Linked DNA regions of Callithrix jacchus. The protein of the gene in region 3 interacts with the protein of the main gene of each other region in a biochemical or structural test. Links are inferred from orthologs where the notes say so. Each region holds a gene or a part of one and is shown on either strand. Other genes may lie near its edges.

Region 1 (4,505 bases), on a different chromosome or scaffold from region 3:
CGGAGGAGGGGCAGTCGTTTCACTCTGGTGGCTGAAAATGGCAACAGGTTCTGTCTTGATGTGTGTGACGCAGGGTCTCTGGGATTTGTAGAGGCCAGTTCTCAGGTGAGTGATGTCAGGGAGGAACACGTTCATGTTGATACTGTAAGGTAACCCTTCAGTGTCAGTGAAGAACTGGTCTACGACTGAGGCACTGTCTCGTCTATACTTTTTATGCTCTGGAATTATAGGAACTGGAGGAAGCTGAGGTGTCAGATACTTCTCCATTTCACATCTTGTCTAAAAAAGAGAAGAGATACAAACATGCATAATCCACCTGATGCACAGTCTCAGGAAGGACAATCGGCGCCTATTAAAATTCTCCCAATCCCTGTGTGAGGTATTAGGGCAAACTTCTCCGTGTTGCTTAAAAACATATCAGGCTTATTTAATCAATTATGTAATATAATTGGTTGACCAAAACCTTATGAAACTCTGTGTAACTGGTAAAACTGCTCCCTCAATCACCTCAGAAGTGAAAGACGCAAATCAAGAAAAAAAAGAAAGCAAACTGAAAACATTCCTTTCTGATGCAATAACAAGGTATCACCCCTGTACAAGCAGGATTCCCTGCCCCATTACACAGTTAAGTTTGCAATTAGAGTACAGTACAGTATTGAAACGTTGCCAAACTGCTTCAATTCTGTTTAAGTCATAAACATTAAAAAGTTTTTCTTAAAAAAGAGAAAGTGCAAATCTTTAAATTATTGCAAAGGTTTCTTTGCTTGGCTAGATACTTCCAAAGTATCAAATACTAAAAAAAAATTATTTGGCTATTTCAGTCTTTTCTTGTTTACAGTTCAATGGGAAATTAAATACAATATTCTAAGCAAAACCTTGTATCCACTGAGACAAAACAATTTCACATTCAGTATTTGATCTAAATGTTGATTTTAATCAGCAGATCCTGTAATTGGTTAATATGACAATGAAATGTTCCTATTCATATCCCTATCTAAAACAGATCTTTAATTACCTAGGGGAAAATCACTCCCTTGGTAGAGTGCTGCTAGTGGGTGGGGAGGCTGCTGTATCCCTAGCACAGTCATCAGCAAAACATTTATCATGTCCTCCTCAGTGGGCCAACGCTACATTCCCCCCTACTCTGTAAAAAGCTCAGTCATCCCTTATCTTCTTAGTGCCTCCAGAGCAGAAAATTGACACAAACAGAAATAACCAAATACTTTTCAAACAGAGATCTCTTTTCTAGGCTATGAAGCAGCTTGTAACAAGTCATCTCAACCCTTTTCCAGCTATCTTCTCTCCTAGTATAACTTAAACTTACATTTTTTAACACTGAAAAGGAAATTTCAAAAGATACGAAAACCAACTAGATGGAACGGCGCATAGAAGAACTATTAGCTGTGGCACCTTAATCGGTAAATAAGACAGTCATTTTCTGTTACTACTTCATTTCAAGAGCGTTTAATCTCGGACCTTGGTGTGGATACGGACGGGGTTTCCCGGATAGACACCATTTAAAAATAAAAATTAACGCTCTCATCATGTGAGTCACATCTCTGACGAACGCCACTGCCCCCTCACAGCAGGACCCTGGCAGACCCCACTGAGTAGGCGCTGGGTAGCAAATACACGATACGCCAAAGGGCTACTAAATGAAGTGTCTTGAAATAAACTGAACTAAACCCTTTCGTGCACTGCGCTCCCGCGGCGGTTAGTGGTTTCTGATTTTAGCTCTTCCAGCTGTTTGCATGTGGGTATGTTTCCAATTTTTTTTTCCTTGGGACAGGCTAAAAGTCCTGGGAAGTTTTTTCTGGGCTATATGACTCCCTGCGTGGGCGAAAGAAACAGGCGGTGGCTCTAATTCGGCTGCTAGGCAAGTGTAAAAGCCAACTGCCAGCTTTCAACGCGGCCCCGGGAGGAAATTTACGCGCACACGAAGAAAACAACTCCCCGGTATTTTTTTTAAGGAAAAATAAGCGCTCCAACACCTTAGCTTTCCCCTCATTTCCCCCTCATTTTCCAAACGCGGCCCGCAATCTCTTCTAAAAGCAGGTTTAGCCACAGGGTATGAAACCTTGGGGAACCTCTCCACAGCACCCCAATTTGCGTTTCTACTTAACCCGAGACGATGGGGGTGTGTGTGGGGGGGTGCTCCAATTCCTTGGCATTGGAGAGCGGTAAAGTCGAAGGCGTAATTTAAGTAAAACTGAGCGTAAGGTACAAGGTTTCATCCCTCAAGTATAAGAAAAACAACTAAGGTGCGCGTGAGCACCCAGTTCTCCTCCCTTTGATCTCTCCCAGGACGACCCGCCGGGGCATATTCTCCCTGGCCCGGACTCCCATTTAATCTCCGCGAAACGCGGGGCCCCGGCCAGGCGGGGGGGGGGGGTGGGGGGTGTCTGCCTCCCCAGCACCGGCTCCGGTGCGCCCCGACGCACGCCCCAGCTTGGAGCGGCCCCTGTCGCCTGCCCGTCGCAGCGGCGGGACACGCCCGAGCCCGGGAGTGCAGCGCTGGGAGGGGAGCGGCTCTTCCTACCTGGACCAGCTCCTCGGGAGGCAGCCGCGGACCGGCTGCGGGCTGCTGGGCCGGCTGTGGGGCCTGTGGGGGCGCGGGCTGCGCCGGCGGGCGGTGGTGTGGGTGCTTCAGCTCCTCGCCGGGGAAGAGCGCCGCGTCGCGGGCCGGGTTCGCGGCGCCCAGCACTGGCTTGAGCTGCGCGAACACGGGCTCGTCCTGTGGCGCCGGCGGCTGGGGCACGGGTCCCAGGCGGGCGCTCATGCTCAGCACCCGCGTAGCCATGGGCACTCGGGGGCGCGGCTCCGGGCGCGGGTCGGGCGCACTTCCCACCTCGCCCACGCTGGCTCAGGCCAGCGAGCTCGGCGCTGGACTGCGGGCGGAGGAGGGGAGGTTTCGGGCGGACCCCTCAGTCAGCGGCAGGCAGTTTTCGAAGGCGCGCACCAAAAGCAAAACTCTTCCGCTGCCACACGTAAACCCCAACGTCCTCCGGGCGGTCACTTTCTCCCGCCCCGCCCCACCGCGCTCTCAAGCTCTCCGGAGCCCGCTCCCGCCACCGCCTACAGAGCTACAAGCGTGCGTACCTGCCCCGCGACTACTGACACTTGACGCCCGCCTCTATTTCACCCAACTCCAGGAGGGCGGGGCCCGCTCGCCTGATTGGCAGTGCCGCCACGAATCCTGAGGCTCCGAGGCCGGCCAGGCAGAAGCGACCAGCCTATGAAAGGGAGAGAGGCAGCCGGGGCCCCGCCTCCACCGGCCCGACCGCACCCCTCTCCGGCCACGAGCTTCGCGCGCAGGGCCGCCGCGCAGTTTGTACACAACTTCTCTGACAGATTGGGCTGGCGGAGCCGGGGGCGGAGGGAAGTAGCGGAGCGGGTGGAATCTGGGAAGAGGGGGAATTTGGGTGGAGACGCGGAGGGAGATCTCTTCGCACTGTTCTCTGCCAGGATTAGGGAGAAAGAGTATTGCACGTCTTAGGTGTTGTGCAAGGACCTGAAACTCAAAAGCTGAAACCCAGAAGGCAGCTAGGTGGGGGCGCTGAGGCTTTTAGAGACTTGTCTGATGAGTGTGTACTTTTAAATATCCAAAATGTACTTCTCTTTAGCAGAAAACTAGGGGCGGTGTGATAAACAAATTTAAAACAGCTCTTGTCTCTCTGTATCTTTAGCAGTGAGTGTATCCATTTAACAAAGCAAATTCAGAATGCCTGAATAAAAGATTCGATGGCAAGCGTTTTTTCAAGTCCTTGCATAAAAGCCTGCGTTTTCCCCCTTCTTTTAGGATTTTAATTGCTAGACGTTTTCCCCACACATTGCTACCTTCTATCTGTGTGTGGAGAGGAGAGCTTGGGCCATATGAATTTTGAAGTTTCTAATATTTAATTATGTTGATTCTAGCCGAAGCATGGAATCTAATTTAAGCATGACTAGCTCAAATGTGTATTTAAATAGACATTACATCTTTGACTTATTTTTACTAGCACTGTATGTTCAAAAAATGGACTTTAATATTTACAAAACAGAAACCTCGCACATTTACTTCATATTGTGGCACCTTTTCCTGCGAAGAGACAACCAAAAAGCCACAAACATAGACACAGAGCAGCTCTGAAAACTAGGAATCCAAATTTGTTGGAAAGTAATAGCCAAATATATTACCATCCATTTACTATGTTGTTATAATGGGAGGGTGAATTTTTGCCAGCAATCACCTAAGGAAACCACTTCCCTTAATCCTTAATGTTCTTGTACATGATTTTATCTGGCTTATTGGGAGTCCGGAACAATAAACTGCAATAAAAATGCCTGTAATATTACTACAAATGTACAGATGTTGACAGCACAGTATACCATTAGACAGTTTTACATATACAACAGCCGACTCATCACTTCAGAGTAAAACAGCTTGTTGAAAAAACAAAAGTATTTGAAAAAACATTCACTTCAAAGAGTGTATCTGTCAAAGGTATGGATCTCATTTTCAATGA
Region 2 (4,478 bases), on a different chromosome or scaffold from region 3:
GGATTACAGGCATGTGCCACCATGCCCGGCTAATTTTGTATTTTTAGTAGAGACGGAGTTTCTCCATGCTGGTCAGGCTGGTCTCAAACTCCTGATTTCAGGTGATCCGCCCACCTTAGCCTCGGAAAGTGCATGAGCCATCACACCCAGCCTGTTTTTATACAGCATTCTGTATATTTATACAGTATACTATATTCATATTTATACAGCATTCTGTATACTATATTTATTCAGCATTCTGTGTTAATAACCTTTGACAATCTTTCCATATCAGGACACAGTCTGACTTCATTCTTTTTAAAGACTGCAGAGATTGCAGGCGCCAAAATACATCTAATCATTGGGGTAGGTCTCAGTATCACCATCCTTAATCCACTGTACTTGTCCTGCAAGGTCCAACCTAGTCTTGCAAGGGACCTCGCAGAAGGCTGCTGTTTCCTGATCTTTTCTAGTGAGGCAGTTTTGTTCCTTCACATAGGGAGACCTCCCTGGAAAGCGAAGTCAAGCAGGTGGATCGCGAGGTTGGCCCCAGCGGGTCAGGAAAGCAACTGTCTGCTGAAAAGCCAACTCTGATCCTTAAGATTAACGAGTAGCGGAACCACCACGTTGGGAGTGCAGCCCCCTCTTTCCGCCTCACGGATTCAGCTTGGAAGTGCGGGGGTTTGTGGGGGGCGGTTAGGGAATGATAGCTGCCCCGTGGAGGATGCCCAGGGCTGGGTCACGAGCTGGCATGAGTCAGCCCTATTCTGTAAGTCCTAGTTATGAGGCTGCCGGTCTCGCGCCGTGCCCAGTCCCACTCAGCCTTCAATCTTCCGGCCGGGCCCCCGCTGGGCGCCCTTGAGGGAACCGCGCCACCGCAAGGGCGGCGCGGAGGCTGCAAGGGGCGCCCGGCCGGCTCGTGAACGTGGTGGAATCCAGACGGGGCGCACCGATCTCCCCTCCCGTCGCGGGACTCTCCCTGCCCCCGGGCTCTGGGCTGGGATTGGTGAGACGGATGACGGGGTGATCGGACGCCGCCAGCCACCGCGTCCCCAAGAGCCGGGGCCTCGGGCTCAGCTAAAGGCCCCAGAGTCACACAAGCGCCCCATAAACGTCTGCTGAGTGAACGAAGGCGCCCCATCTATCAGAGGACTGCTCGGCGATCCCACAGCATGTCCAGGTCGCACTCGGCCGGCTAAACCTCCCGGACGCGGGAGCAGACCCCCAGGATTGCGCCCCTGCCAGAAGGCTGTTTACTTAGGTTCCGCTAAGGAGGCGGGGTGGGGATGGCACAAGCCGATTGGTTATGCAAATTATGGAGCCAATTCCGGTCTATGGTCCAGGAGACTACAAGTTCCAGAATAAATCCTTCCTCCAGCATAGGGAGAGGTCGAGGTTTCCGGAGAGTTGCCTGCTGGGAATTGTAGTCTTCATCTTGTTTGTTACGCAGGCGGAACGGGGGAAGGGAGAGGGAGTAAACTATTACCACGTGACGCTCGGGTCAGGTGGTTGGGCCAGCCTCCGCGCTGGAGCTGTGATTGGCTGACTCTAATAACAAGACGCCACTAGGGGCGGGCCTAAGACGAGCGCAAGCGCACTGCCTTGTGAGTCTCGGGACCCCTGTCGGAGAGACTATGGCGCTCAACAAGAATCACTCGGAGGGCGGTGGAGTGATCGTCAACAACACCGAAAGGTGAAAACACTGCGGAAGGATCCTGGAGGACCAAAGTTCCGGTGTCGAGGAAGTGGGCGGCGGGCGGCGGGCGGCGGGGAATAAGCCCCTGAAGAGGGAGCGCTGATGGAGTGAGGTTGGAGGGGAACGGCTGGGGGCGGGGTTGAAGGAAGGTGGGTGGGCCGTGGGGGGAGGGCCGGGAGATTGCTGTCAGCTGGGAATTGGGGGTGGGACGACCGGTGGGGCCTAGGGTGATTCTTGAAACCCCTTCCCAGAGTTGTGAGTTTAGTAGCTGGGAGGATCCCCAAACAAAAATAATTGTCATTTATTGAACGTCTACAACGTTACTACGTGTCAGACTCTGCGCCTTTTCTACCTTGTTTAATAAAAATTCTGTGCGGTACAATCTACTACTGTCCACATTTCACAGGTAGGTAAAGTGGGGCACAGAAAGGTTAAGTAACTTGCCCGAAATCACAACTCTGTAAGTAACAGAGATGGCAATTCCAGGAAAGGAGTCTTGACTCCAAAGTTAATAGGATTAACTACCATCATACAGGCTTCCAGTATGTTCCAGAACCGATCAGGTTCCAGGTAAGAAACTGAGGCCCCAGAGGTGAAATTAAACAGGTGACGTTGATCAGATGTCTGACAGTTCCTGGCACTGTGTGGGTCCGTAAAGTCAGTCCCTTGCCTCTTCTCTTGAATGCCTGTTGGTTTGAGTCACCCCTGAAGGCAGAGGTCTCCTAATTCAAGGTTCTTTCTACTCCGCCCTCCCCACCCCTTGCTCATTGCATTCTGTCTCTCCTCCAACCTCTGGGCTCCTCAAATGGCTTCTCTCTCCTTTTGTTCCTTGAGTATTGAAAATCAGACCGTTCTGTGATTCCATGGATAGAAAAGGAAAAAAAAAAGTAAAGAAAATCAAACCAGCCTGGGTTGAACTATGCCAACCCTGAAATACCTCTTGAAGGAGCTTAGGAGGCATCTGCATCCCCAAAGGGGACATCAGAGCCCTGTACCCAGCTAAGGCCAGCATCCAGGTGCCCTGTGAGTTGGGAATGTTTGATGAGTCAGAGGAAAATGCCTAGAGTGACCCAGACCACAGGATGCTCACTTTCCGTCCATTTTACCTGCTCAGAGTGTGATGGGCGCAGCCTGTTTCTGGTAATTCCTTCTTTTCTCTGAGAGGTACTTCTCTTTTTTTTAATACCAGTGGTTTCCCACTTACCCTTCCCCTATCAGAGAAAGTTGTGATATGTGGGGGGAGGCAGAAGACAAACAGAACTGTGTGAATCTTTTTATCCTGTAATCAGAGACACCTCACATTGGCTTGTTGCATCTCTGTGTGAGTCAGTTCCCAGGCCCAGCCAGTTTTTCATACCATTTGGCAACATCTCTAGGGACTGTTGTTCTTTCTGTCTCTGTGGAACTTTCTGAGACAAGACTATCCATCTTGCTGGGCCTTCTACCTGGCTTAGAGCTCAGTCTTGCTAAATAAGGCGTGCCTTGTTTTAGAAAGTGCTTCAGCCTCCTGTCTGAATAAGTTGTATCTATAACAATTGAAGTTTAAATCCAGCATTCAAATTTTGATAATTAGGCCCAGCATGGTGGCTCACACCTGTAATCCCATCACTTTGGGAGGCCAAGACAGGTGGATCACCTGAGGTCAGGAGTTTAAGACCAGCATGACCAACATGGTGAAACCCTGTTTCTATTAAATACAAAAAAGTTGGCCAGGCATGGTGCTGCATGCCTGTAATCCCAGCTACTTGGGAGGTGGAGGCAGGAAGATCTCTTGAACCCAGGAGGTGGAGGTTGCAGTGAGCTGAGATCGTGCCACTGCACTCCAGCCTGGGCGACAAGAGTGAAACTCCATCTCAAAATTAAAAAATTGATAAATAGTGAACTTTATTCTTCAAGTCGTGAACTCCTTTGAGAATGATGAAAACTGAACTCTCCTCCCAGAAAATGCACATGTGACGTACACGATCATCTCAAGGGCTTCATGGACAGACTTTCCGGCAGAACCAGCTAAAAACCCAGGTTTAAATGAACCCTGAAGGTGGTCCTATTGTGATGTGTACAGTTATCTCTTAGACGTGTTTATATATTAGGCTTGAAAAGCAAGCCAATAAAAACAACATCCATCACAAGGACTTAAAAGAAAATAGAAGAGTTAAGCCAGCTCTTCTAACCTGCTTAGGGGATGATGGCCTCTCCAGAGCCCTGCGGCTCTGCTACAATGGTGATCGTTTGGGGCTGTGCAAGCAGGCTTTGGGAAATTTTATAGAACCCCAACCTGCTCATTTCTTCCATGGCTAGAGTAATGGGTTTTTTTGTTTGTTTGTTTTTAGTTTTTGTTTTTTTGTAGAGATGGGGTCTCACCATGTTAGCCAGTCTGGCCTCAAACTCCTGGGCTCAGGCGATCCACCCGCCTCAGGTTCCTGAAGTGCTGGGATTACAGGTGTGAGCCCCTGTGCCTGGCCCTGTGATTGGTTTTAATGCAGCACTGTTGAGATGGTTACGAGAGCTGATGTGCTGGACAGCTGCTTGGGAGAAAGGCCCAGTGTCTGGGTGATACCACATCTCCATACTGTCTGACCAAGGCTTTTCCTCTTTTCTCACCACAGCATCCTGATGTCCTATGATCATGTGGAACTCACATTCAATGACATGAAGAACGTGCCAGAAGCCTTCAAAGGGACCAAGAAAGGCACCGTCTACCTTACCCCTTACCGGGTGAGTTACACAGCAGGGCAACTGCTTTAGAGGCTTGTTGCTGCTGTTGGAGGTAATGTGAGTCTTTGTTTCTTTCTTTTTTTTTGAG
Region 3 (4,529 bases):
ACTGCAAACCACAACAAAAATGTAATATTGTGTCTCTGTATATATACAGCCTCTTTTTACAGTAAGAGTTCTTACCAGTATATCGAAGAATCTGAAGGTTCTACTGTTTTAAAAAGCTCCCAGTAGGCAGGGCACAGTGGCTTACACTGTAATCCTAGCACTTTGAGAGGCCAAGGCAGGCTGATCACTTGAGCTCAGGAGTTCAAAACCAGCCTGAGCAACGTAGTGACACCCCGTCTCTACAAAAAAATACAAAAATTAGCCAAGTGTGGTGGGAAGTGCCTGTGTTTGCAGCTACTCGAGAGACTGAGGCAGGAGAATCTCTTGAGCCTGGAAGGTGGGAGTTGCAATGAGCCTGGAAGGAGTGAAAGAAATTCTACCTCAGGAAAAAAAAAAAGCTCCAAGTAATTCTGAGATGGGTGCCATGGATGACCTTCAGATGGTCCACGGACTCTCCTAAAACTGTAGCCACAAAGCACAGGTACATATGGAAGTTTTCCAGGCCAGCAGATTTCTTAAGTTTCACCAAGAAGTAGTAATCCCCAAAAGGTTGTAAAGTAGCACACATATGCTGAGGGTAAAGCTTCATGATTTTGCTCAAAATGGTACCACGTTCTCCCAACCAACCTGGATCAGAATCTGTTACTTTTACTTTCTTCATTTGCCCTCTCATCAAATTTTGGCTATTCTACTTCCTTTCTTCCTTTCCATTCGCGTGCACCACACCTCAGACTACAACACTTGGGAGGTCTTTCTACCTCCACACGCTCCCTACCTCAACTCACACTACAGGCTGCTATCCCACTAATCCCTCTGAAACAAAGTGTTCAAATTGTTTTACTCCCAATTCAAAATCATCTGTGGAAGCCCCACCACCTAGTAAATCCAAGGTTCATAAGCCTGGCATTAAAAACAACCCATAAACTGTTCCAAATTTCTACTTCATGTTTTATCACCCTTTATCCAAATACAAATAACACTATGTTCCACCCAAACATAATTACTTGCCTCTCCCCAAACAGGAACTCTGTGCTCTCTTAGAGATCCCTCTCTGCTTGGATTACCTTTCCTGCCTATCCAAAGTCATAGTGATCCTTCAAAACCACGATTTCAGAAGCCAGAAGCTCTACGAACTAACCCTCTTATCCCTACCTTGCCAAGTAAGATCTGAGCTCTACTCTCTTTGAAGTTGACTTCTGAGAGGATTTTGGTACTGTTTACGAAACGTATATATTAAAAGACAAATAGGGCATTTGTTTATAGCACTATCTACCTAATTAGTGTAAAAGCAGAAACTGCTAATCAGTTCATTTTTGTATTCCCCAAAATATCCCCCACAATTATGCAGTAAATGCCTAACATCTGTACAAGGAAGTAAAGGAAATTTCAGCCACCATGGGGTAAACAGCAAAGATTACTATCTCTTTGAAGGCAGAGACTTTATCTGTGACATTCTCTATTAGGCCGACTTCCAAAAAACATAACTAGTAATTATTGCTTTTGAAAATCCTGATGTCATAGGTCTTACCAGCAGTTTTGCATTTTAAGGTAAGAACTATCTGAAAATGTTAATAAGCTAGGTCCCAAAGAACTATTTCACATACTTTACAATTTTCAATCTGAGTAGATCCAAACACTTGGCCATTATACTTTCCATTTTTAAAATATTAACTATTTATGAAAGATGATCATTTCTAGTCGCAGCTAATTTCCAACTTGATAGCTAAAAACAAGTCACACAATACAAGAACGACTTTCTTTGCTTGCATAATACACACAGATTTGGTGAGGCAGGATTTACACATACACATGAACTCTTGTAAAAAAATAAATAAATAAAACCTGCAGATAACTGTAAACCCATGTATTTCTGGCAAAATCACCAAACGGAGAAAACAAAGACAACTGTGGATATTATTTTTTTCCCCATTACTATTACCAGTAACATTTTAAAGCAGAAACACAAAATCTTGTTCCACATTAACCTACATACAAAAAAAAAACCAAAACTGTTAAACTTTTCAAATAGAAAAAGAAAGCAAAAGCCCCTGGAAAATATTTTACTGGAAGAGTGAATGTCAAAATTATAACAGATGCTACTCTTCTTTGGTAATGAAGGTTTCATATAATTACCAGAGCAAAGAAAACTCCAAATCCACAGAGCAGAGAAGACTGTGAACAAGACTGATCATTTAAAGGTCGTAAAGGTAAGGGGCAAACAAGAAAATGAAAAATTTTATAAAAGAAAACGAAGATGAAAGGTAAGTGTGTAAGTCACAGACAAGATAAGGACTGGTAAAAAGGACTGGTAAAATCTGCAAGGTCACCGGGACCTACCAGGTCACAAAAGGTAGAGGTGGGGGTTGCGCTGGGGGGGCAGGGAGGGGAGCTGCAGAGTCGGTGAAGAACCGGGAGTGACAAAAACACGTCAGAAAAAGGCATTCCAAGGCTGGAGTCCTTGGTTTGCAACATTGAAATTGGGGTGAAAACTCAGGGCACGGGCAATGAGTCCCTATATTTGTGTTCTGAGTGAGGTAGGAAAAGGTGAAGGAAACCGAAGAGAAGGCTGAGGAAGAACCGCGGCTGCAGAGTCACGGAAACATTTAGCTCCGCTCAGGATCACTGGCACAGGCCTGTGCCAGGGCCAACTCTGGGCAAGACCCGTGACCCCACCCCAGAAAACTCCCGGCTCCCGAGCTGGAGAAGGCGGAGAAGGCAGACAAGGCAGGGTGGACCGTCCTCTCACTGCCCCTTGGAGGGTCCCGCCCGCAGGCGGACGGCGCCGGGTGCCGGGCACCGCGGCCAAGGCTCGGGGCCCGCGCCCCCTCCCTCCCCGCCCGCCTCCCCAGTCCTGCGCCCCCAGCCCCGCGCCGCGCAGTCCTTACCCGGCGCGAAGCTGTCGGCTCCCGGCAGCCGGGCGGCCACGGCAGGGACACCTCCTCCTGCGGCGGGCGCCCTCACCCTTCCGCGCCCAAGATCGCCATCTCTTAGCAGGCGCGGCGGCGGCAGCCACCCAGGCGTCGGCCCCGGCAGCCCAGGCCGCCTCAGACACTCGGAACCCGCACGCCGAGCTCGCCGACACCCGACCCTCCCCCCACCCCCACCCCGGCCACGCGCCACCCCCAGGCGACCCCACACCTCCCTTCCTCGGGAGCGCGCTGCGTGGCAGCGTCGCCGGCGCCGCGCCCCGAGCGCGCGCCTCCCCGCCGGCCCCGGCACCGCGCGCGACGCCGCGACAGCCCAAAGCCTCCAACTCCGGACCCGGAATCGGCCTCCCCCGAGCATGCGCAGCGAGGGCGCTCGGAGGCTGCCTTAGAAAACTCCGCTCCTCCGGGTCCTGAGAGCGGTCGAGCAAATGGGAGGGACAGCCAATAGCAGGGAGGGGCGGGGCCTGAACCTGTGGAAGGGGCGGGGCCGCCGCTGAGATTTGGGAAGAGGCTGTTCTAAGACCGCGCTGGGCACTGAGAACACGACTTTCCGGTAGGCGGCCGATCCCAGAGCAAGACTTCTTAAGGTCCTGGGGCAAAAGTAGGCTGTTCATAACTACTCCCTGACCTAGCTGAGGGTTTGACTTAGAACCCATTGCAAGAGTAAATAACTGCATTTATCCATGGTCATACCCGAAGACTTGCAGTCCATTATTTATTAATCAAAACCTTCATTCCCCTGCCCTCACTCACATCAGCCCAGTGATAAAGCTAATACTTCCTGAGCAAGTACACGTGTTGGCACAATTAACCCATACAGCAATCCCATAAAGTAGCGTCTACTGTCTCCATTATACAGAAAAGTCAACTGGTTTAGGAAGTGCTGTTGGTTATGTGTAGCTTTTAGAAGAAAGGCTAATGTGCAAATAGAAGTCAGTGGAACCGCATTACTTAACAGATGATCCGGTTTTCTACTTCAGAGAAGCAGAAGCCTTCAGGCATGGATTTCTACAATTTTTCCCCAATCAACTCCCCCATAGATTATCCCTACGTCCACACTTGTTTTCCTTCTGTCTGGGAGGCTAGATGTCCCTGCCCACACCACTGCCTGCTCTCCACTGAGAGCAGTCCTTTGGCACTTTTTTTTTTTTTTTTGACAGAGTTTCACTCCGTCACCAGGCTGAAGTGCAGTGGAGCGATCTCCGCTCACTGCAACCTCTGCCTCCTAGGTTCAAGCAATTATTCTTCCTCAGCCTCCCAAGTAGGTGGGACTACAGGTTTGCACCACCACGCCTATCTAATTTTTGTATTTTTAGTAAGACGGGGTTTCACCATGTTGACCAGAATGGTCTCCATCTCTTGACCTCGTGACCCACCCGCCTCGACCTCCAAAAGTTCTGGGATTACAGGTGTGAGCCACCGCACCTGGCCTCCTTGGCACATCTTTAACTTCGCCCTCTCCACTGCCTACAACTACTCAGCATAATCACGTTTTAAAACTAGGTCCTAAATTTTCCCTTGATTTTTAAACCTCTAGTTCTCTCGGTCCTTCCATTTTAACTGAGTTTATTGAAAGAACTGAGTGCCAAAAACAGTGCCAAC

What was found.
Region 1: of the proteins of WWP1 (region 3) and KLF5, one has a biochemical effect on the other in vitro, tested with the Homo sapiens proteins (4 studies listed by BioGRID, with this or other methods). The link is inferred for Callithrix jacchus from reciprocal best matches to the Homo sapiens genes WWP1 and KLF5.
Region 2: of the proteins of WWP1 (region 3) and WBP2, one has a biochemical effect on the other in vitro, tested with the Homo sapiens proteins (2 studies listed by BioGRID, with this or other methods). The link is inferred for Callithrix jacchus from reciprocal best matches to the Homo sapiens genes WWP1 and WBP2.

The regions. Positions count from the first base shown.
Region 1 is NC_133502.1:42,208,122-42,212,626, forward strand, and holds the start of KLF5 (Krueppel-like factor 5), read right to left. Parts: upstream 3,113-4,505; 5' UTR 2,801-3,112; coding exon 2,540-2,800; intron 280-2,539; coding exon 1-279. UniProt on the Homo sapiens protein: Transcription factor that binds to GC box promoter elements. Activates the transcription of these genes.
Region 2 is NC_133506.1:131,750,698-131,755,175, reverse strand, and holds the start of WBP2 (WW domain-binding protein 2), read left to right. Parts: upstream 1-1,573; 5' UTR 1,574-1,613; coding exon 1,614-1,672; exon of another isoform or gene 1,673-1,787; intron 1,788-4,281; coding exon 4,282-4,390; intron 4,391-4,478. UniProt on the Homo sapiens protein: Acts as a transcriptional coactivator of estrogen and progesterone receptors (ESR1 and PGR) upon hormone activation. In presence of estrogen, binds to ESR1-responsive promoters. Synergizes with YAP1 to enhance PGR activity.
Region 3 is NC_133517.1:40,734,482-40,739,010, forward strand, and holds the start of WWP1 (NEDD4-like E3 ubiquitin-protein ligase WWP1), read right to left. Parts: upstream 3,055-4,529; 5' UTR 2,886-3,054; intron 1-2,885. UniProt on the Homo sapiens protein: E3 ubiquitin-protein ligase which accepts ubiquitin from an E2 ubiquitin-conjugating enzyme in the form of a thioester and then directly transfers the ubiquitin to targeted substrates.